Callithrix jacchus: one gene and its partners. The protein of the gene in region 1 purifies or fractionates together with the protein of each later gene. This does not show direct contact. Links are inferred from orthologs where the notes say so. Each region holds a gene or a part of one and is shown on either strand. Other genes may lie near its edges.

Region 1 (7,498 bases):
GGAGGAAGGAAGGAGGGATGGAAAGAGGGAAGGGAAGGAGAGAGGGAAAGGGAGGGAGGGAGGGAGGGATGAAGGGAGAGAGGGAGGGAGGGAGAGGAAGGGAGGGGAAGGGAGGAGAGGAAGGGAGGAAGGGAGGAAGAGAAGAAGGGAGGAAGGGAGGGAAGGGAAGGAGAGAGGAGAGGAGAGGAGAAGAGAGGGAAAGGGAGGGAGGGAGGGAGGGAAAGGGAGGAAAAGGAAGGGAGGGAGGGAAGGAGGGAGGGAGGGGAAGGGAGGAGAAGGGAGGGGAAGGGAAGGGAAAAAAAACTGAGATAGGCTAAAAGCTATGCCTTCTCTTTTCTCTTCTTGCCTTGGTGTCCTAGTAGCTGGGATTACAGGCACTTGCCACCTCATCTGGCTAATTTTAGTAATTTTAGTAGAGACAGGGTTGCACCATGTTGGTCAGACTGGTCTCAAACTCCTGACCTCAGGTGATCCACCTGCCTTGGCCTCCCAAAGTGCTGGGATTACAGGCATGAGCCACTGCGCCCAGTGCTATGCATTTTTTTTAGCCAGGTTGTGGATGCAAACAAAAAGTTCTTTTTGTTTAGATTTTTTTTTTTTGTCTGTTTGTTTTAAACCTTTATGGTTTGACTCTGGAAAATGGAAAAGTTATTGAAGGAAATTAGAAAGGCCCAGACCAGCCTAGGCAACATAGTGAGACCCTGTCTGTATTTAAAAAATAAATAAATAATTTTTTTTTAACCAAAAAAAGAAAAATTTGAAGCTAGCAGAGGTTGGTTCTTGAGGTTTAAGAAAAGAAGCGATCTCCATAACATAAAAATGCAAGGTGAAACAGCAAATGCTGATGGGGAAACTGCAAGTTGTCCACAAGGTCTAGCTAAGATAATTAATAGTAACTACACGGGGAAACCGCCTTCTATTGGAAGACGATGCCACCTAGGGCTTTCATAGTTAGAGAGAAGCTGATCCCTGGCTTCAAAGCTTCAAAGGACGATCTTACTATCTCGTTAGAGGCTAAATGCCGCCAGCAGCTTTACATTAAAGCCAATGCTCATTTACCATTCTGAAAATTCTAGGGCCCTTAAGAATTATGCTAAATCTACTCTACCTGTGCTCTATAAATGGAACAAAACCTGGGTGACAGCATATCTGTTTACTACAGCATGGTTTACTGAATACTTAAGCCTACTGAGACCTACTATCCAGAAGAAAAAAAGATTCCTTTCAAGATATTACTGCTCATTGACAATGTCCCCGGTCAACCAAGAGCTCTGCTGAAGATGTACCAGGAAATTAATGTTTTCATGCTTGCTAACGTAACATCCATTTTGCTGCCCATGGAACGTGAAATCATTTTGACTTTCAAGTCTTATTATTTAAGAAATACATTTCAGCCAGGTGCAATGGCTCACCCCTGTAATCCCAGCACTTTGGAAGGCCAAGGCAGGTGGATCACCTGAAGTCAGGAGTTCGAGACCAGCCTGGCCAACACGGTGAAACCCAGTCTCTACTAAAAATACACAAAATTAGCCGGGTGTGGTGGTGGGTGCCTGTAATCCCAGCTACTTGGGAGGCTGAGGCAGGAGAATCACTTGAACCCGGTAGGCAGAGGTTGCAGTGAGCCAAGATCATGCCATGGTACTCCAACCTGGGCAACCAGAGCAAAACTCCATCTCAAAAAATAAAAATAAAAACAAAAACAAAAGAAGAAATACATTTTATAAGGTGATAGCTGCCATTGATTCCTCTGATGGACCCAGGCAAAGTAAATTGAAAAAGTTCTGGAAAAGATTCATTATTCCAGATGCCATTAAGAACATTCATGATTCATGGGGAGTCAAAATATCAACATTAACAAGATTTTGGACAAAGTGGATTCTAACCCTAATAGATGACTTTGAGGGATTCAAGACTTCTATGGAGGAAGTAACTGCAGATACAGTGGAAATATCAAGAGAACTAGAAGTGGAGCCTGAAGATGTGACTGAATTGCTGCAATCTCATAAAATTTGAACAGATGAGGAGTTGCTTCTCATAGATGACCAAAGAAAGTGGTTTCTTGAGATACAATCTACTCTTTGTGAAGATGCTGTGAACACTGTTGAAATGACAACAAAGGATTTAGAATATTCCATAAACTTAGTTGATAAAGCAGAGGCAGAGTTTGAGAAATCTGGATTGACTCCAATTTTGAAAGGTCCACTGTGGGTAAAATATTATCTATCAGCATCACATGCCATCAAGAACTCTTTCATGAAAACAGAAGTCAATCAATGTACCAAATGCCATTGTTGTCTTATTTTAAGGAATTGCCACAGCCACCCCAACCTTCAGCAGCCACCATTCAGATCAGACAGCAGCCATCAACATGGAGCAAAAACTCTCTACTAGCAAAGAATATGACTTTCTAAAGGCCTAGATGATTGTTAGCATGTTTTAGCAGTCAAGTATTTTATTTACTTGTTTGTTTTAAAGACAGGGTCTCACTCTGTCTCCAGGCTGGGGTGCAGAGGCATAATCACAGCTCACTGTCATCTCGACCTTCTGGGCTCAAGTGACCCTCCTGCCTCAGAGCAATAACAAATGTACATATACTTTTTCCTCCCTCTCTCCCAATATTATCAATTAAGGTATGCACATTGTTTTAGACATAACATTACACACTTACTACATTATAAACGATTGTATGTGCACTGGGACATGAAATATTTGTGAGACCTCACTTTATTGCCATATTGCGGTGTTCTGGAACCAAGTTCGCAATTATCTCTGAGGTATGCCTGTAGCAGATTTTCTGTGCTTGGGTTTAGTCCACATCGTAAATACCTTGAAGGCAAAAGGAACAGGGCAGAGAACACAGAGGACAATACATATTTGCTGAAAAACAGTACAACTGCTGACGACCACAGCCTTGCCTTCTCCAGTTGACTGTGCAGCAAATGTTGCCAATTTGCCAGAGGCAAGCAACTCGAAGAGAGAAAAGCTGCCTCTCCAGTTGACAAGAAAAGTACTGGGTTTGTCTTCTGCGGAGCACCAGCAACCCAGATCCCGACCGAGATTCCTGAGACCCACTTTTGGTGGAGGGAACTCCTAGCAGCAACGCCCAGCCCCCGGCGTGACCCTCCGACCGCACTTGCCTCCCAGGTTGAAGGGGTGGAAGGGGCCGCCCGGAGTCCCCTCAGTTCGTCAGTAAGTGCCCCCTGGGCGGAAGCGGAGCAGAGGCCCCTAAGTCAGGCTCGAGGCGAGGGGCGGGGCACGGCGGGCCTTACGCCCCCGCCCCTCGCCGGCGCCCCAGCCCTGCGCGCCGGGCCTGCGTGTCCTCGCGCCGACCCCTCCCTCGCGCTCCTCGGCGGGCGCACGCGCGTGGCCTCGCGCTGGGCGGGGAGAGGCGGTGGCTCTGGGCGTCCCGCCCCGAACCTGTCAGACCCGGGTAGCCTGCCTCCAGCTGCGGGCGCGGCGGGCGCGATAAGCGCGAGCACGACCCGGCTCTCCCCCGGCCCGAGTGGAGAAGCGCGAGCGGGCCTCGCCTAGCCGGCCGGGGGCGGGGAAATGAGCTGTAGCCCCGCGGCAGCGCCCCAGGTATTAAATAGATGCGCCGCCCCCTCGCGGAGCCCCGGCGAAGCCTCGGGGCCGACCTTGCGACCCGCCGCTCGCGGCTTCGGAACTTGAGGACAGGGCTGGGCGCCTTTAATTTATAACGTGTTTCATTTTCCACAGGATGGGGAGGGACGCGCGGCACTGCCGTCGAGAACTGGCACTCCGGTGAAGTAGGCGCCGCCGGCCGTCCGCCTCCCGCCAGCCGTTCTGCGCCGCGGCCGCTCAGCCTCTGCCATGGCCGGCTCTGGCGCGTGGAAGCGCCTCAAATCTCTGCTGAGGAAGGATGACGCGCCGCTGTTTTTAAATGACACCAGCGCCTTTGACTTCTCGGATGAGGCGGGGGACGAGGGGCTTTCTCGGTTCAACAAACTTCGAGTTGTGGTGGCCGATGATGGTTCCGAAGCCCCGGAAAGGCCTGTTAACGGGGCGCACCGGACCCTCCAGGCCGACGATGATTCCTTACTGGACCAGGACCTACCTTTGACCAACAGTCAGCTGAGTTTGAAGGTGGACTCCTGTGACAACTGCAGCAAACAGAGAGAGATACTGAAGCAGAGAAAGGTGAAAACCAGGTTGACCATTGCTGCGGTTCTTTACTTGCTTTTCATGATTGGAGAACTTGTAGGTGAGTTGTGTTGCCAACTCACCCCTTTTACCTTTCCTCGAGAGTCTTTGTCAGCTGTAGTTACACAGGCTTTGCGGTTTAAACCATCTTTTCAGGAAGTTTGTATTTACGAAGACACTGATCTCATGTGAAAAGGCCACACGGTTCCAAAGTGCAGCTCAATCTAAGTACAACATAAACACCCCGAGATAACTTTTTTTTTGTTACTACTCCCGAGATAACTTTGACTTTGTCTTCTAGTTCTTCAAACACTGTCACCTACTGTAAAGTTAAGGACGTTATCTTCATTATATGTCACATAACTTCCTCTTTTTACAAAATTCTGATAAAATACCAGGTTAATTTTTGCAGCGTTTAAAATAGTAAATGATGGTAAATTACTTAGGATCATAGAATTTTACAGTATGAAGGGACCTTACTGAACACCTGTTCTCCACCTCCTCTTTTTTTTTTTTTTTTTTTTCCTTTTACATGTAAGGATTTCCAGGGCACAAACAGGTGAAATAAGTTGTGAGGGCCATCTAATGGAAGAGCCGCATCTACAGTCCCAGCATTTTTTCCTCTACATTTGACCTAAGTGGTTTCTCTTATACTATTTCCTTTTGTGTTTATAGCCAAGAGTTTTGCAAAATTAATTACCAACTAACATGAAATTTTTTCATTATAAGGAGGGCCTGAAATGAACCATGGGACTCCGCCATAGTTCTATAAGCCTGGTTTTCTTTTTCATTTTTTAATTATATTAAACACTCCATTTTCAATATAAGATACACTCAGTTTAGAGGTTATTTTCAGTCACATCAGTATAACTACTAACTTCTCAGTGACATTTACAAAGTGACATTAAAAGGAGGTGATTCTCCCATGTTATCTCTTAATGATGAACCATGAAAAAAACAGATGGCAGTCCAGATTTAAGATGCTTGACTAGACAGTTCTATGTAGGAAAAATTATATACATTTCCTACCTCATTTCATAACATTTCTCCCCAGGTTCACTTCAGCCATGCAGGCCTTTTTCCTCCTACAACTCACAAAGCTCTTTTTGCCCCTAGGTCATTCAAAGTAGCTGGTCCCTCTATCTCAGGGGCTTTCAGACATTTTTTGACCTCACTATAGTAAGAAATACACTTCACATTGTGACTCAGGTAGGCATGCATGCACACATATGTATGTGAATACACACAGGTCACATGTATAAATATACATAAAACTGAAACAAAATTTTTCCTTCATGTGATGTATCCTAATAGTTTTTCAATTGTGGTCCCAGCTTACTAACTGTATTTCATGGTTTACTGCAGTAGGTCAGGGCCTGTAGTTTGGAAAACACTGCTTTACATAGACTGCCTTTCCCAAATCTTTTCTTCGCCAATTTTTTGTCATTTGGTGTCTTATTTTAAAAGACACCCTGGCTGGGCATGGTGGCTCACACCTGCAATTCCAGCACTTTGGGAGGCTGATGTGGGTGGATCACCTGAGGTCAGTAGTTCAATACCAGCCTGGCCAACACGGTGAAACCTTGTCTCTACTAAAAAAAAAAAAATATATATATATATATATATATACACACACACACACACACACACATACATATATATATATATATATATACAAAAAAAAATTAGCTGAGGGTGGTGGCAGGTGCCTGTAATCCCAGCTACCCAGGAGGCTGAGACAGAGAATCCCTTGAACCGGGAGGTGGAGGTTGCAGTGAGCCGAGATTGTGCCATTGCAGACCAGCCTGGCAACAAGGGTGAAGCTCCATCACAAAGAAAAAAAAAAAAAGAAAGAAAACAACCACAACAAAATATTCAGAATGTTACACGGAATTAAATTGTATATAATAGAGCATTTATTAAAGTGTGTTCAAAGCGCTTACAAATAAAGCATCTTCAACCTCACTTGAGGTTAGGAGGAAAGCAGTCTGGCCAATGTGGTAAAACCCTGTCTCAACTAAAAATACAAAAAGTAGCCAGTGTGGTGGCATGCTCCTGTAGTCTCAGCTACTGGGGAGGCTGAGATGTGATAATTGCTTGAACCTGTGAGGTAGAGGTTGCAGTGAACCAAAATCATTCCACTGCACTCCAGCCTGGGTGACAGAGTATGACTCTGTCTCAAAAAAAGGAAAGAAAGAAAAATAAAGCATCTTACGTAGGAAGTATGGAATAATAAAAAATGAAGCAATTTGGCCGGGCACAATGATTCACACCTGTAATCCTGGCACATTTGGGAGGCCAAGGTGGGCGGATCACTTGAGGTCAGGAGTTCAAGAGCAGCCTGGCCAACATGGTGAAACCCCGTCTCTGCTAAAAATACAAAAATTACCCTGAAATTGCTTGAACCCAGGAGACAGAGGTTGCAGTGAGCTGAGATCGTGCCACTGCACTCCAACCTGGGCAACAGAGTGAGATTACATCTAAAAAAAAAAAAAAAGGAGCAGTTTGGCCAGGTGTAGGAAGTATCTTATGTAGGAAGTATAGAATAATAAAAAATGAAGCAATGTGGCTGGGCGCAGTGGCTCATGCCTGTAATACCAGCACTTTGGGAGACCGAGGATTGCTTGAGCTCAGGAGTTCAAGACCAGCTTGGGGAACATGGCGAAACTCTCTCTTTACCAAAAATAGAAAACCTTAGCCTGGCATGGTGGTATGTGTCTGTGGTCCTAGCTCCTCTGGAGGCTGAGGTGGCAGGATTGGTTGAGCCCAGGGGGCAGAGGTTGCGGTGAGCAGAGATCTGGCTACTGCACTCCACCCTGGGTGAGTGTGAGACTCTGTCTCAAAAAGAAGGGGGAAAAAATGAAGCAATTTAAAGATCTGAGATACACTTGGTTGGCTTTGCCACTTAACTTGCTCTGAGACCTTGGTCAAGATCCATTCTTTCCTTCTCTTTGGAAGTATATTTTGAATACTTACACTATGTGCCCCATGTTCTGAATATACAGTGGACAAAAAACTATTATGATCCCTACTATCTGGTGAATTTAATCCAATGGAAGAGACAGACATTAAACGTGTAAGTAAATTTAAAATTTAGATGGTCCCAAGTGTTAGGAAGAAAAAGAAAAAGGTAGTATAAGACATAGTAACCAGTAGGACATAGTTTATCAATGGACCAGGTATATTTAAGCCAAAAAAAAAGAATAGTAGGAGTTACCCAAACAGAGTGAGGGAGTTTTCTGAGAGAAGACAACAGCATGTACCAAGGTCCTAAAGTCTTCAATTCTTCAAAAGGAATTAGAAAGAAGGCCAGTTTGGCTTCAGTGTGTAACCATGA
Region 2 (7,047 bases), on another chromosome or scaffold:
CCTGTAGGGGTAAAAAGGAATAAAAAAGGATGACAGTTTTTTTCAAGTGAATATATAATTGTAAAATTCCAGTGTGATTTTGTTTCAAGTCTATATGGAGGAATAAACAGATATAAAAGGAGGAAAAATAAAGGTAAGATCAGCCCTACTAGACACATAGTTATACTTAGTAAAAGATCATGCTTCTATTATAATAGCCTACAAATAGTTTGCTTTTTCAAAACATACAAAATAAAGGAAGCATTACAAATCAACGATTCTGAAATGGTTGGATGTGTCTTTGGTAGTGGAGAATCTAGTTTAGAATCTCATCTCACATTCTATTCTAGAACAATATACAATAATGTCTTAGTCAGCTCAGGCTGCCATTATAAAATACCACAGACTGGGTAGCTTAAACAACAGATATGCATTTTCTTAGCATTCTGGAGCCTAGAAGTACAAGATCAAGGTGCCAGCAGATTTGATTCCTGATGAGGGCTCTCTTCCTTGGTTACAGATGCCTCCTTCTCACTGTGTTCTCACAGGGGAGTTGGGGGTGAGGGGAAGAAGAAAGGCAGCCAAGCTCTCTGATGTTTCTTCTTATAAGGACACTAATCTCATCATGATGGTTCCACCCTGGTGTCATCCAAATACCTCTCAAAGGTCCCATCTCCAAATACTGTCACATTGGGATTAGAGCTTCAACATACAATTTTTTTCTGGTGGTGATGGCCACAATTCAGTCCATAGCAAATAAGTAACACTTAAAGGCCAGGCACAGTGATGTCTGTAATCCCAGCACCTTGGGAGGTCAAGGCAGGTAGATTACCCGAGGTCAGGAGTTTGAGACCAGCCTGGCCAACATGGTGAAACCCGTCTCTGCTAAAAATACAAAAATTCGCTGGGTGTGGTGGCACGCGCCTGTAGTCCTGGCTACTCAGGAGGCTGAGGCAGGAGAATGCTTGAACCCAGGGGAGATGAAGGTTTGCAGTGAGCTGAGATTGCACCACTGCACTCCAGCCTGGGTGACAGAGCGAGACTCCATCTCAAATAGTAGTAGTAATAATAATAATGAAGCAACACTTAAAAATAAGCATAGAAGCATACACAAAAGCATAGATGAATATAGAGAAAACCCACTAACACTCCAGTAATCAAAGCCGGCAAAGGACACAATACCGAGGATGTAATTAGACAGTTCACACACAGGAAACTCAATTTAAAGTTAGAAAAAGTTACAGATAATTCGATAGTTTTTGTTTTTCTTTTCAATGATTTTTGAAAATACAAATTGCTACAGACTTTTTGGAAATTAACTTTGTATCATGAGTGTTCAAACATAAAATTTATTCTTGGGTCTTTGGAGAATTTCTTCAGTCTTCATGCTGGTTCACACATAAATTATCTGAGTATAGACTAAGATTTTACTTTAAATGTGAAAGCCGCTGTATTTTTGTTGTTTCTGTTGTTAATCAGTTAGTTATAATTAAAATAGTTATAGTTTTGATGTATTTAAGAGCTGTATACTTGAGGTACATGTTTAGGACAACAATAGATACCAGATTTTTTTTGTTGTTTCATTCCTCAAAATATGTATACTCACAGCTTCGTAACCATAAATTGTGACTTTTTTCCCCCCTAGTCTGAATTGGAGAAACCTAGAAGCAGGAAGAAAACACCCGTCACAGAACAGGAGGAGAAATTAGGTATGGATGACTTGACTAAGTTGGTACAGGAACAGAAACCTAAAGGCAATCAGCGAGGTCGGAAAAGAGGCCATACGGCTTCAGAATCTGATGAACAGCAGTGGTCTGAGGAAAAGAGGCTCAAAGAAGATATATTAGAAAATGAGGATGAACAGAATAGTCCACCAAAAAAGGGTAAGAGAGGCCGACCACCAAAACCTCTTGGTGGAGGAACACCAAAAGAAGAGCCAACAATGAAAACTTCTAAAAAAGGAAGCAAAAAAAAATCTGGACCTCCAGCAGCAGAGGAGGAAGAAGAAGAAGAAAGACAAAGTGGAAATATGGAACAGAAGTCCAAAAGCAAACAGCACCGAGCGTCAAGGAGAGCACAGCAGAGGTAAGCATATGTAACTCTAAACTGTATCTATTTCATTACTATATTATAAATCATAATTTGATGCTATCCACATTTGGGTCTTCCCAAAGCAGAGCAGAATCTCCTGAATCTAGTGCAATTGAATCCACACAATCCACACCACAGAAAGGACGAGGAAGACCATCAAAAACGCCATCACCATCACAACCAAAAAAAAATGTGTAAGTTGTAAATGTTAAATTTCAAACCAATTTCAAATTATTTTGCAAAAGTTCCTTAAGCTATAAACATACATACTGCTGTATTTAAATTCCATGTATTTAGCCCCATTACACTAGGTAAGATAACATTTTTATAAACTTACCTTGGTGATTGATAGCCCAATGAACTATTTTGTACATTTTTATAGGTGTAGGCAAATCTTTATAAATGAATAACAAATAGTTTATTATTTCCTTACAGACTTGATGATATCTAAAGAAATAAGGCATTTTTTAAAAAATCACCACACATTGACCAGGTTGTCCCGTCATTCCACGCTACAGTTTTTAAAAATTGTTTCTCGTTAGCACCTTTTCCTTTGAAAAAAGAAAACAGGTCTTGCACTTCTGCTTTTGTTTTTTGAACTTGTAGTAGGAAAATAACAGGTACCATTTTTCCTAAACTATGTCCGTAGAAATTATCACATGTTGGTCCCCGGTGTTGGTCTCAAGTATTTGACATGTTGGTCTCAAGGTTTTGTTTGTTTTCTAATCGAATTCATTTATCTATATCAACATATATATAGTTTCAGATGTTCACACAAATACAATTATAAGAGAGGTATAGTAACAATCTGTACCCCAAATTTTAAGGTCAGAAGAGAAATCGGCACTGTAATTTGTAGATTTGACAGCATTTTTTCTCCTTAGTTATGTCTTCTCTTTGTCATACAAAATTTAGCATACTTTTTCTGAGCGTATTCCCACCGATACATAATTACATCAGTGGCCTGACTTTTCAGAGTTACCAACATACTGTCCTTAAATACTCAATTATCTTAGAGATTTTCCTATTCCTGTGTATTCCACAGGAAGAGGAAAAGTTGCCTGGGTGTCTAGCCAGTACTTCATGCCATCTTCCATGTAATTTTTCTGTCAGGTTAAAAGTAAAGGTAAGTACATTTTTGGGGCAGCTTTATAAATATGTTTGGATTCAACCAAAGGAAATCACTATTTCTAAACAAAAGATTCTTAAATCCTTTATTTAATAAAATATACATGATGTAACAATGAAATAACCTCATAACTTTAGTTTGTTTATATTCGAACATGATAAAATTCAGGGTTTAAATGATTGTGTTCTCCTAAAATTACACAAATCCTCCTATGAAAGTTCTAAACCAAACAAGTATTTCTTTAAAAAAAAAAAACAAAAACAAAAATCAGTACAGAAGAAGATTCTGAAGTCTGTCTTGGAAGCCTATCTTCCTTTCACTGGTAAGCTCTTTTTAGAGCTAGTATGATAACATATATTAGGATTTGTCTCTTTATCTTATTCTGACCTCAATGAAATTCAAAAGGATTGTCATTATTTTTCATGTAATTTCTATAGTTTCATTAATGCTGAAAAAGCAAACCAAGTAAAAAAAAATTGTTTGGTTTGAGCATGAGTTAAATAATACATATTTTGGATTGCTTATCGAAGTGATGTTATGTTTCTAATTTAAAAATAAATATTTATCAAGAGGTATCCATTTGACTCAATGGTTCTATTACATATTTTTGATGCCTCCTGTGTTTCAGAGAGTAGTAGGTGCTAGGGACACAAAACAGACATGGTTCTTGTCTTCCACTGTCTAATGGAATGAGGAAGTAACTCCAAACAACTTCAAAGAGTTGTTACTTTTTGAAAGTAACAATGAATTGATATCTTGAGAATAGTAGGGGTCAGACAGGAAGAGAAGAGGTGGCAAGAACACTGTATTTGAAGTTTCTGAAGTGAGAAAAGTCTTGGCAAAATCAGAAGCTAAAGGAAGGCAAGGGTTTGCTGGATTGTAGTTGTGGGGAGTTAGGGACCCGAAAGGGATGAGAATGAACAGGTAGGCAAGGACCATCTACTGGTCCTTGTATACTGTGTTAAGGAGGTTTACAAGATTATTCTCAGCTCAAGGGGGAGCTCTGTAGTGGTAGTAAAAGTAAAATTTTACTTTTAAAAGATAACTTTGTAAAGTACAAGATAAGTATTCTTGTACTTTTAAAAGATAACTTTGTAAAGAGAAGATGTAAGAGATGGGAATGGTTTGAATTAGGTGGTAGCAATGGAGATATGGAGAGAAGTGAATCGATTTGAGCTCACTTTAAGAATCTGTAAGGCCAGACAAAGACTGGTACACGATATTCAAAGCAGAATTCCTTTCTGCTTTGAGCAGCTCATAAGACATTGATGCCTTTTACTGCCTTAGGAAAGATAGAAAGGAAAAGCAACTTTGAGTTATGTTTTGCATTCCTTTATGGGAAGGACTCAGTTACAATTTTTATTGTTGTTACTTGGTTGATAATTTGTAAAATTCTATGATTAAACATTGGTTTAGGATTCAGAATATTAAAGAAATTTTCTTGTCTCGTAAGGTAATTGAGGGTAAACATGATGACAGTTAATGAAATACTTGAAGCATTTCTTCTAACGAGGTAATCTACTGAAAGATTGGAACATTCATTGTATTTTATGTGTGTTTTACTCTAGCCGTGTAGGACGCTCCAAACAAGCAGCTACTAAGGAAAATGATTCAAGTGAAGAAGTAGATGTGTTTCAGGGTAGCTCTCCTGTCAATGATGATATTCCACAGGAAGAAACAGAGGAAGAGGAAATTTCCACAGTAAATGTATGTGTTCAAAGTCTCTGTGAGTGATGTGGAATATAAAACTAGAGTTGGGCTCACACCTGTGATCCCAGCATTTTGGGAGGCTGAGGCGGTCGGATCACCTGAGGCCAGAAGTTCGAGACCAGTCTGGCTAGCATGGTGAAACCCCATCTTTACTAAGAATACAAAAAATAGCCAGGCATAGTGGTGTGTGCCTGTAATCCGAGCTACCTAGGAGGCTGGGACAGGAGAAAGGCTGGAACCCGGCAGGCAGAGGCTGCAGTGAGCCGAGATTGTGTCACTGCACTCTAGCTTGGGTGACAGAGCAAGACTCCACCTCAAAAAAAAAAAAAAGCACAAAACTTTTTTTTTGAGTTGGTAAATATTTGGTTAGATCATTTAGTACTTGTTGTTTGTTATAATTGTAAGTATTTGTATATTTTTCTTCATTAATTTATAGCATTGTTTTATCTACCAGCTTGCATAATGGAGAAAATCTTTTATGGAAACCTGAAACTAATTGAATAGGTGTAGCTTAGTGAGAATGTAAATGTTAAGTATGAACTGAATGTAGAGCATTCTAATATTGACACTTTAAACATTTAAGTTGTACCTTGATTTTAGGGTACTGATACCTGTTAAGTATACTGTTGTTTATATTTCGCAACTGTGTTCGGTATTTCTATTTGGGTTTCATAATAGGAATTACAAGTTAGTTACACAGAATAAAATCAGCCTTTGGAATTGAAGTATGAGCTGAATGAGAATCCGTAAAATTGGTAATACATACTTACTTTGCAAAAGTAGGGATGTGTTACTTCCTTACTTTTTTTAAAAAAGTTTTTGTTTTTGAGACAGAGTCTCACTCTGTCACCAGGCTGGAGTGCAGTGGTGAGCGATCTGTTCTCACTGCAACCTCCACCTCCCACGTTCAAGCAGTTCTCCTGCCTCAGCCTCCGAGTAGCTGGGATTACAGGCCATTGCCACCACATCTGGCTAATTTTTGTATTTTTAGTAGAGACAGAGTCTTAAGATGTTGGTCAGGCTTGAACTCCTGACCTCAGGTGATCTGCCTGCTGGACCTCCCAAAGTGCAGGCATGAACCACTGCACCCGGCCCTTCCTGACATTTAAAATAATAAACAAATAAATAAATAAATTTACCAGTTAATACAACTCAGATAGTTCTCTTAGGAAAAAATATAATACATTTAAGTAGGAGCTCTTCTTTTGATGTACTAATGCTGAACTTTTAGATCTGCTCAGCCAGCCATCTTTGTTTGAGAAACCCAAGCTCTGTAATTAAGTCTCAGAATTGGTCTCTGCTGTTCTGTCCTATTTAATGGAATCAGAACTCTTGGCTGTCTCAGGATTCATTTTTGTGAATGAGTAAATTAACACAGGAAAAAATGCCCAATTGTGGTCTCAAATTAGTTTGGCTTGTTTCTTTAAGGGTTTTAGGGGGACATTAAAGTAAGGCTGAAGAGTTAATGATTGATGTCTTCATCAGAAAAAAACTACAAAGTAAATCAAAACCCTGTCTTTTTTATATTCTTGTTAATATTGACATTTTTTCATCTAAAGTCTTGTGCTTTCATTAGTGCTTGCCAGTTAGTATGTTTGAAATTTAGGTTATTTTACCGTATTGATAGTTGGTTGAGATCCAAACTCAGTAACTACTTTTCCAGAAAGATATTGTAAGTTCATAAATCTGAAATGTTTTCATTTACCACATGAAATATAAGTAGAAAGATGATTAATATGCTTGCAGTTATTTTTCTTGCTGTGGACATTGACTTCTGTTCATTTCTCTTTAAAATTATTAGATAGAAAAGTAAAATAATTTTTTCTTTTGCTGTTCTGGGAAAGTCTATGAGCATTTAAGGGTTCAAATATTATAGAAGTCTAAATATATGATGCCAAGGCAGAAAGCAAAGATAAAAAATTTCAGGGAAAGGAAAGCAAAGGAAATCAGGAACAAATGAGAAAAAAGATTGCTTAAAAATGATTACTGCATGTCTTATATACATATACACATTTTAATTAAGCATTTGATGACTTTCCTTTTAAGGTACGGCGGCGAAGTGTTAAAAGGGAACGGCGATGAACAAATGTAATTAATAACTTTCTCTGTGAAAGCTTTGGAAAAATCTTTCTTTTTTT
Region 3 (7,662 bases), on another chromosome or scaffold:
ACAAGTATAAACTTGTGATTTCACAAAAATCTATTTCCTAGCCAAATCCCACCACTGTTTTTATATAGCCCATAACTAAAGATGGTTTTTACATTTTTTTTTTTTTTTTGAGACAGGGTGTTGCTCTGTTGCCCAGGCTGGAGTGTTGTGGTGTGACCTCAGCTCACTGCAGCCTCCATCTTCTGGGTTCAAGTGATTCTCATGCCTCAGCCTCCTGAGTAGCTGGGATTATAGGTGTGTGCCACCACGCCCTGTAAAAAAAGGGCACCCTGTAAAAAAAGCTAAGTTTTGTATTTTTAGTAGAGACAGGGTTTCACCATGTTGTCCAGGCTCGTCTCGAATTCCTGACCTCAAGTGATCTACCCACCTCAGTTTCCCAAAGTGTTGGGATTACAGGAGTGAGCCACCACACCCCATCTGTTTTTACATTTTTAATGTAAAATGTAAACTTATAACTTTCCTTGTGGTGATAATAGAAACTCAAAGACTTGAAGACATTGTCTCTTGGCCTGCAAAGACTAAAAGATTGATTATGTAGAGGAAGTTTACTAACCCTTGAACTAGACTATAAAATAGAAATGTTTGGCCGGACGCAGTGGCCCACACCTGTAATCCCAGCACTTCAGGAGGCCAAGGCAGGCAGATCACCTGAAGTCAGGAATTCAAGACCAGGCTGACCAAAATAGTGAAACCTCATCTCTACTAAAAATACAAAAAATTAGCCAGGTGTGGTGGCAGGCACCTGTAATCCCAGCTATTTGAGAGGCTGAGGCAGGAGAATCGCTTGAACCTAGGAGGCAGAGGTTGCAGTGAGCTGAGATTGCACCATTGCACTCCAGCCTGGGCAACAGTGCAAGTCTCAAAAAAAAAAAAAGAAATGTTTACGGTAAAACAGGAGAACTTAAATATGTTATGTTTCATTTAGTCTCAATGATTACATAACTATTAACTGGTTGGCTGTTATGTCCATTCAACACATGTAAGCAGATAGATCATTATACACACATGTGCACGGAGAGCCTCAAAGAAAGATAGGAGGGTTGTTTGAGTTTTCAGATCTCAAAACTCAAACAAATCATTGTTTACTAATTCCCTCCTGGCATTACCTTTGGTGTCTTTTCACCTTTTCTTTCATACTGATTCCGTTGTTGAATTTTCTCAGCAATTTCTTGGGCAATTTGACAAGTAGAATCATATGTGGAGAACCTGCACCAAAGTCACAAAAAGAGAAAATGTTTAAGGTTATTTTTTTGTTTTTCTTTTTGTTTTCATAAGGAGTGTGGCTCTGTGGCCCAGGCTGGAGTGCAGTGGCGCAATCTTGGCTCACTGCAACCTCCATCTCCTGGGTTCAAGTGATTCTCCTGCCTCAACTTCTTGAGTAGCTGGGACTGCAGGCATGAGCCACCATGCCTGGCTAATTTTTGTATTTTTAGTAGAGACGTGGTTTCACCATATTGGTCAGGCTGGTCTATTTAAGATTCTTTAAAAGAAATTTTTGCATTGTCTACAAACAAAAGGGGAGAACAATAGCATTACCAGTAAAAGCAACATGGACTGAGTGGTATTTACTATGTGCCAGGCACTATTCTGAAGGCTTCATTAGTAATAACTCACTTAACCTAAACAGGAACACTACGAAGTGGGTGCCATTACTATCTCCATCTCATACAGGAGAAAATGAGGCACAGAGGCAGAGTGACTTGCCCAAGTGGTACTACCCGCTGCAAACCAAGGCTGTCTGACCCCAGAGCTGGGGCTCTTAACAACTGTCATTCTGCCAATGATAAAGCATTTGGGGGCCTCTGCTGTACTGGGCAGTGGAGAAGAGAGCAGTGAACAGAATGAACACAGTCCCTGCTTTCACCGAGCTCATATTTTGGGGAAAGAAACTCATAAAACAAATACTATGACAGGTGTTGACAGGTGCTAAGAAGAAAAATGCAGCAGGACAAAGGGACAGAGAGTGATGAGGAGCTATTTAGAATCAGGTAACACTGAGGCAAGGTGAAGAAACTGGCCTCAGAGACGCCTGGGGGACAGCTCTAGGTCAATACAGACCTTAAGTCTGATAAGAAACATTTACAATCTATTCTCCCTAAAGCCTGCTACCCAGAGGCTTCATTTGCATAATAAAACCTTGGTCTCCACAACCCCTTCTGATAACCCAGACATTCCTTTCTATTAGTAATAACTCAACCAATTGCCAATCAGAACATTTTTAAATCTACTTACGACCTGGAAGCCCCCTAACCCCCTTTGAGGTATCCTGCCCTTCTGGATCGAGCCATCATAAATCTTACATGTATTAATTCATGTATTATTCTCCCTAAATTGTATAAAAGCAAGCCCCAACCACCTTGGGCACATGTCTTCAGGACCTCCTGAGGTTGTGTCTCCAGTGCATCCTTAACCTTGACAAAATAAACTTTCTAAATTGATTGAGACCTGTCTCAGATACTTTGCAAGGGTCTTAAAAATGTTCATAACCCCCAGGTGCAGTGGTTCACACCTGTAATCCCAGCACTTTAGGAGGCCAAGGTGGGTGCATCACCTGAGGTCAGGAGTTTGAGATCAGCCTGGCCAACATGGTGAAACCCCGTCTCTACTAAAAATATAAATATTAGCTGGGTTTGGTGGTGAGCACCTGTAATCGCAGCTACTTGGGAAGCTGAAGCAAGAATCGCCTCAACCTGGGAGGTGGAGGTTGCAGGGAGCAGAGATCACGCCATTGCACTTCAGCCTGGGCAACAAGAGCAAAACTCTTGGCAACAGAATTTTTTTCTCTCAAAAAAAGTTCATACCCTTGAACCCAATAGTTCTATTTCACTTTCAACGGTGTAATGAGAAATCCAGTTAGTCAAACTAATTGAGAATAACAAAAAAAGGATAAATGCTTTCACTTTCAACAGTTCTAATTCCTTCTTCGAGGCAAGGAGCCCAAGGAAATAAGAGATGGAACAAAGGGACTGCCTTTGAGATGAAAAAAAAAAAACAAAACATCAAAAAAACAAAACTAATACTAGGAGAAAAATAAATAATGGTCATTCATGTGATGCACTATTATACAACATAAAAAAATTATGTTTTCGCCGGGCGCGGTAGCTTACACCTGTAATCCCAGCACTTTGGGAGGCCGAGGCGGGTGGATCACGAGGTCAAGAGATCAAGACCATCCTGGTCAACATGGTGAAACCCCATCTCTACTAAAAGTACAAAAAATTAGCCGGGCATGGTGGTGCGTGCCTGTAATCCCAGCTACTCAGGAGGCTGAGGCAGGAGAATTGCCTGAACCCAGGAGGCAGAGGTTGCGGTGAGCCGAGATCGCGCCATTGCACTCCAGCCTGGGTAACATGAGCAAAACTCTGTCTCAAAAAAAAAAAATTATGTTTTCAAAGAATGTTCAATTACATAGAGAAATGCTGTTGTATTTTATATATATATATATATACAAATATACACACACACACATATAATACAAATTAAAGTAACAAGTTCATTGTTTAAAAAAAATCAGTAATGGGCCAGGTGTTGTGGCTCACGCCTGTAATCCCAGCACTAAGAGAGGCTGAGTTGGGTGGATCACGAGGTCAGGAGTTTGAGAACAGCCAGGCCAACATTTTGAAACCTGTCTCTACTAAAAATGCAAAAATTAGACAACATGGTAGTTCACACCTGTAGTCCCAGCTACTCGGGAAGTTGGGATAGGAGAAACGCTTGAACCTGAGAGGCAGAGGTTGCAGTGAGGCAAGACTGTGCCACTGCACTCCAGTCTGGGTGACAGCAAGACTTCGTCTCAAAAAATAATAAAATAAAATAAAAAAGGATATGGCTGGGCACGGTGGCTCATGCCTGTAATCCCAGCACTTTGGGAGGCCAAGACGGTTGGATCAGAAGGTCAGGAGATCAAGACCATCCTGGCTAACATGGTGAAACCCCTTCTCTACTTTAAAAAAAAAAAAAAAATCAATAATGGCTATTTCCAAATTATAGAGTTAAAGATGCTATTTATTTTCCTCTTTGCAAATTTTCAATATTCTGTAAATTGAATACTCTCTATCAAGTGGTGTATATAACTGTTAAAATTAGGTTCAAAAAATCAATGTTAAATAAATGGCCCAAATAACCTAGATTCCAGGTAACTCAGCTTTGTTCTTGGAATCCATTCTTCTAATACCGAGGCTGTCGGCAACTTAAATTATCAACTATATTAGAAATAACAATATAAGACATATATTCCAACAAGAGCGTTATGGAGCTGTAATATGTTTTTAATTATTAAGCAGAAAGGTCAAGTCTATTATGCTATAACGGGATGTTCCTTGGGATCAAAACTTGCATCTTTCATCATGCAGTCCTTGCGATTAATTGCTAAATAAATGACCCTATCACCTACTATTTTACTGCAGACGCTACTGCTAAAAGAAAATTCTTCAGGGTATTAACTCAAGAAAGTGTAAAATGCCTTATAAACAAGTGCACGATTTCCCTCCCAGATTCCTGTAAGTATCTGGAAGGGCCCCCAAGATCTAGGTCTTAGTCCCAACTGGTTACTAATTGGCTGGTGACCATGGACTCCGAACCTCGGTTTCTCCACCTGCGAAATAAGGGGGTTCACCGGATGGACGGGCACGCTACAAAAAGGTTATTTTGACTTCACTTTTATAGGAGTCCAGGGAAGCCTGAACCGGCCAGCTCCACAACCAAGATGGGCGGGAAATCCCCGCGGCGAGATGCAGCCCAGAAAAGCTAGAGGAATATTTAGAGATTTGGCTCAAGTCCTCAGCTCTCCAGCGGACCACCCGTTCTCCTTCCCGGGCCACCCTGGCAAGGACCAAGGGTGGCGGGAAGTGGCTGAGCCCCCTCAGTAGAGGAAGGGTCTCGTTGCCTCTCCCTTCACCCGAAATCCCTCCAACGGGCGCGCGAAGTGATCGCCTGCTCCCCGGAAGCCCGGCCTCCCCGAAGGTCCCTCAGCGCACCGCCGCCTTCACCCGGGGCTCACCAGGGGTCCGGTGCCATAATGCAGACTCCGCCCGCCGCTCGGATTCTTCCTGCTCTTAGCAGCTGACTACGGCGGCCCGCGCGGCTCACTCCCCGCAGTTCGTCCCGTACGCGACCGGAGCCCGGAGTTTGCCAAGTGAATAACTAGGGCCTTAGAACCACGATCAGAGAAAGGGAAGTGCTTCCCTGGGGACAGCAGGTTGGAGCAATCTAATCACACCAAGAGATGCGAACTGCTGAGCTCAGTTAAAATTGTGAACAGAAACTAAGCATTTTCCCAGGAAGGTGGGAGCGCTGTAAGACCTCTCTCTCTTAACAGTTACTTAAAAATTCATCCTGCTTCCAAAACAAAACAACAAACAAAAAACTAGATTGCGGTGAGACTTGCACCCTATATAAACTTATTACAACCTACCTTAACTTTCTGATCTGTACATTATACCTCAATAACGCTTTTTTAAAAATCTTTAACATTTTTTTCACGCAGCTTCAAACAGGGGCCCAAAGAAGTATCAATTACATATTATTTTATAGCAGCCATCCCATCAGTCCTTTACGCTTGATTACTTATTTTTTAAATGCCATTCATTTGGTGCTTGATTTTAGAGTTACCAGGAAGTCACAGACTCTTTGCACGAGGGGATGGAGGAATTAGTTCTGTGCAGTCAGTGCCATCCCCTAAATTTCCAGAGAAATAGCACACACAGAAAAGAAGAAGAATCATCTCAACCCCATCCCTCCTCCCAGCCCCAATACCCCTTATTTCCAAGAATGCTAATGAACTCAAACTCGGCAGGGTGGGTTACTGCGCGGGCGTGGAACTGGCGCGCATGCGCTCGCCCGTTACCATAACGACCAGGAGACGCTACACTTATCCGGTCGGAGAGCAAAATAAGCAGAACCTCCCAGAGATGGATAACAAAATTTCGCCGGAGGCTCAAGTGGCGGAGCTGGAACTTGACGCCGTGATCGGCTTCAATGGTGAGGCTTCCAGCATCTCTAGGCTGGCTGGTTTAGGAACTCGGAGGACGCATAGTGCAAGCAGGAACAGTGAGACAACGAGGACATCTGAAAAGCAGTGTGGGACAACGGCAGGAGCCCTGGACAGGGACAAGCACAGGAGGACCCACACAGCCCGCCCCGCCCCAAGGCCTTGGAGAGTCACTTCCTCGCTCCGAGCCTCAGGGAGTGTGGGGTGGTTTTTACCAGCTCGGACAAGCGCAGGCACCTAAAAGGGACCTCATGCCTCCTCCCCAGGAGGGACGGATGAGTAAGGGTGGTTGGAACCCTTCTCCCGCTAGGTCTGCCATTCCTGGCTCTGAGCCCCACGCTGCTCTCAAAGCCCTAGGCCCCCCTACAGAAAGATGCTGTCTGTGTCGGCCCCTGGGACTAGCTAGGAAATCTGCTAAAATCCCGGAGGGCGTACCAGCAAGAAAGCGCTGGGTGTTTGAGCAACCCCCTAAGGGGATGATCTAGGTTCTCTAAAATCTTAAGGAAGGTTTCTAAATGGTGAGGATTTCAGACCAGGACAGCAAGGGAAGGGGACGCCAGGGGGAGCTGAAGGGGAAGAGACGAAGGGTCTAGGTCGCTCTGCTGAAATCTTATTTGTGACTGCCTGTTGTTTTGAACATTCAGGGAAGAAAAAGCTGCTGTGGGGTTTTGTTGCTAGTTTTGAGAGGTTTTGGTTTTCTGAGGGATGAGAAAACAATGAATGAGATTTTAGGAGAAGCAAAACTTTTTTTAAAATGTGCGTTGTGATGCCTGAAAGCGTTAAGAATGTGGATGCAGAACAATCACTGTCTAAAGTTTTAAGCATACTCTAGGACTTAGCTCTTGAATCGGTTTTACTTTAACCGTCTCCGATAGAAAGTGAGCGCTTTACCGGGCACGGTGACTTAACGCCTGTAATCCCAGCACTTTGGGAGCGGGCAGATCACGAGGTCAGGAGTTTGAGACCAGCCTGACCAACATGGTGAAATCCCATCTCTACTGGAAATACAAAAATTAGCTCGGCCTTGTGGCACGTGCCTGTAATTCCAGCTAGTTGGAAGGCTGAGACAGGAGAATCACTTGAATCTGGTAGGCAGAGGTTGCAGTGAGCCGAGATTGGGCCACTGCACTCCAGCCTAGGCCAGCGAGGCTCAGCTGAAAGAAAGAAAGAGAGAAAGAGAGAGAGAGAAAAAGAGAAAGAAAGAAAGAAAGAAAGAAAGAAAGAAAGAAAGAAAGAAAGAAAGAAAGAAAGAAAGAAAGAAAGAGCGCTTTATACATTTCGGATATCAGATATCCTGAGAGCCGATTACAAGATCATTGAGAAAGAATTGAGCATCACTTATTGAGTCAATGTAGGACCACACACACAGAGAACTCTGCAACTGAATTCATGCTGTGGTTGCAGAGTTCTAAGTGCAAATACAGGGTAAATTATATGCCAATGTCTTCCATGGCAATTACTAATTATCTTTGCCTTTTAGAATGACCCCATATGATCAAATTGTTGTTACCTTGGTGGCTTTATATTAATGTATATTCTTTCACACAGTCAAATCTATACATGTGTGTATAACCTCTATGCAAAGTAATACCTTATGGACTAAGAATACAGGGATAATTCCATAGCCATGCTTATGAGGAAGAGTTTAGAAAACTGGAAACATACAGTAAAAC
Region 4 (7,701 bases), on another chromosome or scaffold:
GGCCTCTCTTCCCTACTTTATTTTCATATACATCTATTATTGTTATTTTGATCTATCTCTCCTCAAACAAATTAAGGTCCACCAAGAGGGCATGCCTTCATTTGTGAAACAATTATTTAAAGAAGCCTACAGTATAAGGCATTGTTTCTGGCACTGAGAGAGGAAGAAAGCTAGGTGGTGGCCAGGCATGGTAGCTCACACCTGTAATCCAAGCACTTTGGAGGCCAAGGCGGGCGGATCACCTGAGGTCGGGAGTTCAAGACCAGCCTGACCAACATGGTGAAACCCCGCCTTTATTAAAAAACAAAAACAAAAGCTAGGTGGAGGCCCGGTGCAGTGACTCATGCCTGTAATTCCAGCACTTTGGGAGGCTGAGGTGGGTGAATCACCTGAGGTCAGGAGTTCAAGATCAGCCTGGCCAACATGGCGAAACCCTGTCTCTACTAAAAACACAAAAATTAGGCCAGGCGTGGTGGCTCATGCCTATAATCCCAGCACTTTGGGAGGCCACGATGGGCGGATCACATTAGGTCAGGAGTTTGAGATCAGCCTGACCAAAATGGTGATACCCTGACTCTATTAAAAAAAAAAAATTAAAAAATTAGCCAGACATAGTCGCGGGTGCCTATAATCCCAGCTACTCGGGAGGCTGAGGCGGGAGAATTGCTTGAACCCGGAAGGCAGTGGTTGTAGTGAGCCAAGATCATGCCACCACACTCCAGCCTGGGCGACAGAAGGAGACTCTGTCTCAAAAAAAAAAAAAAAAAAAAAAAAGCCGGGTATGGTGGCACACCTGTAGTCCCAGCTACTTGGGAGGCTGAGGCACAAGAATTGCTTGAGCCTGCAATGCCAAAGCTGTAGTGAACCGAGATCACAGCACCGCACTCCAGCCTTGGTGACAGTGAGACTTCATCTCAACAAATAATAAAGTAACGTAAAAAATAAATAATAAAATCTATGATATACAAAACTCCATTTAATAATAAGCAAGCTATTGCAGAGAATGAAAAATAAAATCATTGCTTTTTAGTTATTTAAACACAACACATAAGAAACATCAAAATTGATAGGGAGAGACTAAAAAGAGAGCTACTTTTTGGTCCACCTAACAGTTTGGAAGAGGACAATTTAAAATGGATTCTGCCTGGTACTGTAAATGCCCAAGAACAAAGCACTGACTTTTTGGCAAAGTTCTAGCAAATCAGAAACCGTGGAGTGTCAGATTCTCAATGACTGCTCCCTCGTGTAATACCTCAAAAACAAGTCAGTGAGCTGCAGTACCTTTACTATTTTTTTTTTTTTTTTTTGAGACGGAGTTTCGCTCTTGTTACCCAGGCTGGAGTGCAATGGCGCGATCTCGGCTCACCGCAACCTCCGCCTCCTGGGTTCAGGCAATTCTCCTGCCTCAGCCTCCCCAGTAGCTGGGATTACAGGCACGCGCCACTACCTTTACTATTTTTAAACTGACTTAAAAGATGTAAGAAAAAAATAGACCAGGAGAAGCATCCCAGCAACCCAACCACGGCCAGTCTTCCCTGGACACCATGAACCACACGGTCCAAACCTTCTTCACACCCGCCAGCACCAGCCGTCCCCGGAACTATGAGATGCTGAAGGAGGAACATGAGGTGGCTGCGCTGGGGGCGCCCCACAACCCCGCGCCCCCAACATCCACCGTGATCCACATCCGAAGCGAGACCTCTGTGCCCGACCACGTCGTCTGGTCCCTGTTCAACACCCTCTTCATGAACTCCTGCTGCCTGGGCTTCATAGCGTTCGCCTACTCCGTGAAGTCTAGGGACAGGAAGATGGTTGGCGACCTGACCGGGGCCCAGGCCTACTCCTCCACCGCCAAGTGCCTGAACATCTGGGCCCTGATTTTGGGTATCATCACGACCATTCTGCTGATCATCATCCCAATACTGATTCTGCAAGCCTATCAGATCAGAGGAATCATCCCGGCCAGGGGCTCTGCCGGTGACCTGTCTCCCATGTACTCCAGCTTCCATTCCTCGCCCTGCCCCCAGCCGACCCTGTATCAGCCTTTTAACCTCACACACTTTTCCACAGTTGTGTTCAATAAAGTGCACATGTTCCTGGAAAAAAAAAGAAAAAGAAAAAATAGACCAATGGGTATCCATCAAGAATAATTTGAATAAACAGTCAAATATCATTTTAAACTATGGTAGTGGTCAGTTTCATATTATTGTATCCTTTTCGGAAATTTTGTGTATCCTTTTAATTTTTAAAAAAAATAATTGTATGTTCTTGCGTTTGTTTCAATTATATACATTAAATTGCTTAAACACTGCTGTGTGCACTGTTTTTAACTGATAGTTGTTTTCCTTTGGATGCCAGAAAACGTTAATGCTTGGTAAGTTTAAAACACTAAAAAAAAAAAATGAGTTCTTTCTTATTGAGAAGCACCCACCTAATTAGTAAATGCTTATTTCTGCGTTCCACTCTCAGAGATCCTTTTTTTTTTTTTTTAATGTTTGAAGTTGGAGACGTACGTTTTCAGCCAGTACCCAAAGTGATTGTGAGGCCTGGTGGCCCAAAGACATACCTTGAGAACGACTCGAAGCAATGCTATTTTCATGTTTTGCAGCTTTCAAAATGCTAACTTCAGAAATCGAAGGAGGGTGGGTAACTCGAAAGACTGTCAGAATACCCGAGAGTGAGCCGCTCACGCAGTGCCGGGTTGCACAACTTTCCTTTACTTTGCAGATCTCTCCCTGGGGCGGAAATCATTTCATTTTCACCAAGCAATTAACCATCTTCCAACCAGTTCCGTCTACGTCCCTCATGATGACCCCCAAAAGTCACCAGCTCATCCCCGCGGCGGAAGATAAAGCGCTGTTTGCCCTGCGTGCCCTCGCAGGGTCGCGGGGCCGCGGGAACCTGGGTTCGCTTCCCGCCACCCGGGCTCCTCCTCTCCAGGCCCTGTCGGGTCGGGTCCTCCCCGAGGCGCCCAGCGCGGCAGGTCTTGGCGCCAACCGGGTGGCGGCGCTGTCCGCCCTGCGCGCGGCCGCTTCGGGCCCGAGGGAGGCGGATGCACGGCCGGCGGAGGAAGGGGAGGGAGCGAGGAGCGCGCACTGCTCTCGCGTGCTCTCGCGCCACTCGCGTGACCGGCCGGTGTGTGCGCGAGGCGCCGGCTCCCGGGGCACGGACTGCCGGGCGCGCGCCACTGCGAGGGGCGTCCGGGTCCGAGTCGGCTACCCGGGCCGGCGCGAGGTGCGGGCGGGCGGGCTGCGGGGGTCCCGAGCGGACACACGCACACAGGCTCCCGGAGGAGCCTTCTCGGAGGCTGCTCTTCCTCGGCCAGACGGAGAGCGGCACTGTCTCCCCGCCCAGCGCTCACTCGCCCCGCGTCTCCCCCCGCGGCGGCTGCTCCTCGGCACCGCCAGCCCCAGCGCCGCTCCCGGGCGGGCGGGTGGCGGCGGCGGGACCCGCGGAGCCGCTTTGTGTGCAACCCGACGAGGGGCGGCGGCGCAACCACCTGACAGAGGCCCGGGCGCTCGATGCACCTTCCGCCCGCATGAGGAGGAGGTAAAGGCGGCGGCGGCGGCTCGGCTCCCGCCCTCGGCTGCTGGAGGGAGGGGACGGAAGGAGAGACAGAGGGGGGGCCGTGGGTCCGAGGCCCGGTGGGGCCGCCCGGGGGTGCGGGGAAGGCCTCGGCGGTGCCGGCGGCGCCAAGCGGCAGGGAGCCAGAGAAGCCGTTGGGGTCCCTCAGCCGAAGTTGAAGGAACAAAATGTGAAGTGCGGAGCCGCGTCAGCCGCTTCCTGGCGTGGGGCTGGGGGTGGAGGGCGGCTTGTTTTCCCCTCCCGCGGGGGTGAGGGAGCGGAACCGAGGAGGGGCGGCAGCGCGGCGGGGACTGCCCGGAGTCCGAGGCTCGGCTGGGCAAGGGCGTTTTGTTCCCGGGAGCCGCCACTGCGCGTGGGTCCGCTCGGTCCCTAGTTTTGCGGCCTAAGCCGAGCCCTATAGGCCTCGCGTCTGCTTTCCTGGAGAGGACTAGTCGGGCGGGACTCGGCGCTTCCCTCCAGCCAAGTGGGGGCCTTGGGGTCCTTATCAACCTCCTGAGGCCGCCAAACTTCGGACCTTGGTGCTCGGGGGTGGATTTCATTGTGAAAGGGGGAAAGGTAAACTCCTGGCGCTGTTCGCTGTCTCCCGCGGCCGCGGCGGCTGGTACCGGGAAGCCCAGTGAGCCCCGGGCTGGCTGGGCCGGCGCTGGCGGGGTCCGAGCCCCGGGAAAAAGCGGGTGGTGGGGCCGCTGCCGGGTCCCCGGCCTCCGGGGAGAAAGAGCCTTTTCCAGATTAGAGAGATTTGAAATGAAAAAAGAGGTTAGAAAGTCGCCCCTTTCCCGCTGAACTTTGGTTTTCTGACCGATAGAGGCCGGTAGAGGACTGTGAACGAAAAGTTGTCCCCCAGGATGGACTTCACCGCGCAGCCCAAGCCTGCCACTGCCCTCTGTGGCGTCGTGAGTGCCGACGGGAAGATCGCTTACCCTCCGGGTGTAAAAGAGATCACCGACAAGATCACCACGGACGAGATGATCAAACGCCTGAAGGTAAGCGTCTGGACGGATTGTTCGCTCTCTGGATGTCTTGGTAGCAGGTGCTTTTTCCTGTGATATGGCTACTCTGCTCGGTCTGGCCTTTAGAGTTCCAAGTTTTTTAGATGTCTTACCTCCTCAGAAAGGTATTGTATCACTACTACGTCTTTGAGTAAGTTTTCTAGTGACATAACCATTGTGAGAAATTTTAAAAGAGTGTGATTTAAAAGAAAAAAGTACTGGTTTTCAAGCATAAGAATTTGTGTGTTTTTCGTTTTTTTCTGGAGATATTTAATGAGAATACTGTTCAGAGTGGCTTGCAAACCTAAATGTAGGCAGGAATTTGCCTAAGAAGTTTCCTAGTTTCAGCCTGTGAGGGGGATTGATTAAAGCACAAAGTCCTTTTTAAAAATTGGCATAATTTTCTAATATCCAGAAGCTTAAATATGTATATAGTGTGGTTAAACTTTGACAGTAGGTACAGACTTCTCAAAATTGAGGTTTAAAGTTAGATGTTTTAAATCTATACGTTCAAAGGAGTTTAAGAGTATTACGGCTCTTTTTATGAGGCGTCAGCTAATTTTGTTTAAGCATGGCAGTCCGAAGGTTAAGGTTTTAAATTTCAACCTTATGTTGGTTAGTTTTTTTGGTTTCTGTGTCACTGACATAGATCGTGGCCAGAATCTTACCAAATAAGTGATATTCTTGTAGGATCAGCTTGAAGCAGTGGTTTTCAGTCAGGGCAACTTTGACCTCCAGGAGATATTTGGCAATGGTGGAGACATTTTGGTTGTCATAATTGGTGCTAGATTGGAGTAGGGAATGATTTGAGTAAGAATAGACCAGAGGCAGTGAGTCCAGCTAGGAAACTAAACAGTAGTCTGGGTGAAAGACATTGAAATCTTTAGGCAGGGCTTTGGCATTGGTAATAGTGACTAGGAAATGATTTAACAGACTTTTCAGAGTTAGAATCAATCAGAATTGGTGGGAGGTAAGGGAAGGAATATTGTCAATGTTTCCACCTTGGGCAACTTGGCAAAATGTATTTTAGGGAATAATTTTGCCCTCTTGCTCTTGGAGCCCAGTAAATATATCTAATGTTGCATTTTAATGAGTATAGTATTTAAAATATTCCTACGGTTTAGCTTTCAAAACTAAGTTGCTTCTACAATTTGCCTTTTGGAAGGAATAAGACAACAGTTCCTTTCATTAAAACAAATATTTTTATTTTTATTTTTTAATCGAAACAGGGTTTCACCATGTTGGCCAGGCTGGTTTCTTTTCTTTTTTTTAAAGACGAGGTTTCACCATGTTGGTCAGGCTGGTCTTGAACTCCCGACCTCAGGTGATCCGCCCCCCTTGGCCTCCAAAGTGCTTGAATTACAGGCATGAGCCACCACACCCAGCCCAGTTTTTTTGTTTGTTTGTTTGTTTGTTTGTTTGTGAGGGCGGGTTGGATCTCTGTCCCTCAGGCTGGAGTGCAATGGTGTGATTTCAGCTCACTACAACCTCAGCCTCGGGATTCAAGTGATTCTCCTGCCTGAGCCTCCCAAGTAGCTGGGACTACTGGTGTATGCCACTATGCCTGGCTAATTTTTTTTTGTATTTTTTCTTTTACTTTTTTTGAGATGGAATTTTTGCTCTTGTTGCCTAGGCTGGAGTGCAGTGACGGAATCTCCACTCACTGCAACCTCCGCCTCCCAGGTTCGAGCGATTTTCCTGCGTCAGCCTCCTGAGTAGCTGGGATTACAAGCATGTGCCACCACACCTGGCTAATTTCTCCATGTTTAGTCAGTTTGGTCTTGAACCCCTGACCTCAGGTGATCTGCCTGCCTCAGCCTCCCAAAGTGCTGGGATTACTGGCATGAACCCGGCCATATATGTTTTCTTTTTAATAAGGCAGAATTTCACTGTGTCTGTCAGTTCGTTTCTAACTCCTGATCTCAAATGATCCACCTGCCTCACCTTCCAAAGTGCTGGGATTACAGGTGTGAGCTGCTGCTCCTGACCCCTTTCACTAAAATAAGTCTTGGCCTGGTGTGGTGACTTGCGCCTATAATCCCAGCACTTTGGGAGGCTAAGGTGGGCGGATCACCAGGTCAGGAGATCGAGACCAGCCTGACCAACATGGAGAAACCCTGTCTCTACTGAAAATGCAAAATTAGCCAGGCATGGTGGCACATGCCTGTAATCCCAGCTACTCGGGAGGCTGAGACAGGATAATCACTTGAAGCTGAGAGGCGAAGGTTGCGGTGAGCCGAGATCACGCCACTGCACTCCAGCCTGGCGACTCTGTCTCAAAAAAAAAAAAAAAAAAAAAAATCCTGTGCCGGGTGCATTGGCTCATGGGCAGATCACCTGAGATTGGGAGTTTGAGACCAGTCTGACTAATGTGGAGAAACCTCATCTCTACTAAAAACACCAAATTAGGTGGGTATAGTGGCACATAAATCCCAGCTACTCAGGAGGCTGAGACAGGAGAATCGCTTGAACCTGGGAGGCGGAGGTTGTGATCAGCTGAGATTGTGCCATTGCGCTCCAGCCTGGGCAACAAGAGCAAACCTCTGTCTTGAAAAAGAAAAAAAAAAAACACAAAACAAATCTTAATACTAAAGATTATACATGAATTGGGGTGCTTGATGGATGCCTCTAGAAGTTACACTAAGTTATGAAATATAAAACTTAAACAATTTGTGGATCTTTAATTTTTATCAAGTTTTCAAATTAGGAATATTGAAACCTTGAATTCTAGTGGTGGATAATCTGGTTAAAAAGTGGAAAGTTGTGGCTGGGTGCAGTGGCTCACATATGTAATTTCAGCACTTTGAGGGCTGGGGCAGGAGGATCATTTGAGCCCAGGAGGTTCAGACCTGGGCAACATAGTGAGACCCTGTCTCAGTTTTATTTTTTTAAGGTGTGGTGGGGAAGTTATGACTACTTATATACATTTTCTGTTTGAAAACATTATCAGAAGTACTGTTAACGATAAATGGACATACAATCCAATCGAGAATGATTATCCATTTGTTGAGTTCTTTTGGAAGTTAAAATTAACATTTATATCAACCAACTTTAATGTTCTGCCAAAATTTTTTCTGAAAAATTCTTTTGATTTTTTTGAAATCCTTCTGCCTTCCTATTTTGACTT

The links.
Region 2: the proteins of SLC30A4 (region 1) and PDS5B purify together in Homo sapiens (affinity purification with mass spectrometry; 3 studies listed by BioGRID and IntAct, counting the BioPlex papers as one, with this or other methods). This does not show direct contact. The link is inferred for Callithrix jacchus from reciprocal best matches to the Homo sapiens genes SLC30A4 and PDS5B.
Region 3: the proteins of SLC30A4 (region 1) and STX8 purify together in Homo sapiens (co-immunoprecipitation; 3 studies listed by BioGRID and IntAct, with this or other methods). This does not show direct contact. The link is inferred for Callithrix jacchus from reciprocal best matches to the Homo sapiens genes SLC30A4 and STX8.
Region 4: the proteins of SLC30A4 (region 1) and PDS5A purify together in Homo sapiens (affinity purification with mass spectrometry; 3 studies listed by BioGRID and IntAct, counting the BioPlex papers as one, with this or other methods). This does not show direct contact. The link is inferred for Callithrix jacchus from reciprocal best matches to the Homo sapiens genes SLC30A4 and PDS5A.

What each region holds. Positions count from the first base shown.
Region 1 is NC_133509.1:33,028,600-33,036,097, reverse strand, and holds the start of SLC30A4 (putative proton-coupled zinc antiporter SLC30A4), read left to right. Parts: upstream 1-3,422; 5' UTR 3,423-3,579; intron 3,580-3,717; 5' UTR 3,718-3,831; coding exon 3,832-4,222; intron 4,223-7,498. UniProt on the Homo sapiens protein: Probable proton-coupled zinc ion antiporter mediating zinc import from cytoplasm potentially into the endocytic compartment. Controls zinc deposition in milk.
Region 2 is NC_133506.1:152,028,773-152,035,819, forward strand, and holds part of PDS5B (sister chromatid cohesion protein PDS5 homolog B), read left to right. Parts: intron 1-1,624; coding exon 1,625-2,064; intron 2,065-2,153; coding exon 2,154-2,264; intron 2,265-4,767; coding exon 4,768-4,906; intron 4,907-6,955; coding exon 6,956-6,991; 3' UTR 6,992-7,047. UniProt on the Homo sapiens protein: Regulator of sister chromatid cohesion in mitosis which may stabilize cohesin complex association with chromatin. May couple sister chromatid cohesion during mitosis to DNA replication.
Region 3 is NC_133506.1:76,055,304-76,062,965, forward strand, and holds the start of STX8 (syntaxin-8), read right to left. Parts: upstream 5,029-7,662; 5' UTR 5,017-5,028; coding exon 5,000-5,016; intron 1,207-4,999; coding exon 1,107-1,206; intron 1-1,106. Other genes in the region: CFAP52 (cilia- and flagella-associated protein 52), read left to right, coding at 5,910-5,979. UniProt on the Homo sapiens protein: Vesicle trafficking protein that functions in the early secretory pathway, possibly by mediating retrograde transport from cis-Golgi membranes to the ER.
Region 4 is NC_133504.1:153,854,712-153,862,412, forward strand, and holds the start of PDS5A (sister chromatid cohesion protein PDS5 homolog A), read left to right. Parts: upstream 1-3,103; 5' UTR 3,104-3,215; coding exon of another isoform or gene 3,216-4,430; coding exon 4,431-4,568; coding exon of another isoform or gene 4,569-4,687; intron 4,688-7,701. Other genes in the region: uncharacterized protein LOC144581690, read right to left, coding at 3,216-4,687. UniProt on the Homo sapiens protein: Probable regulator of sister chromatid cohesion in mitosis which may stabilize cohesin complex association with chromatin. May couple sister chromatid cohesion during mitosis to DNA replication.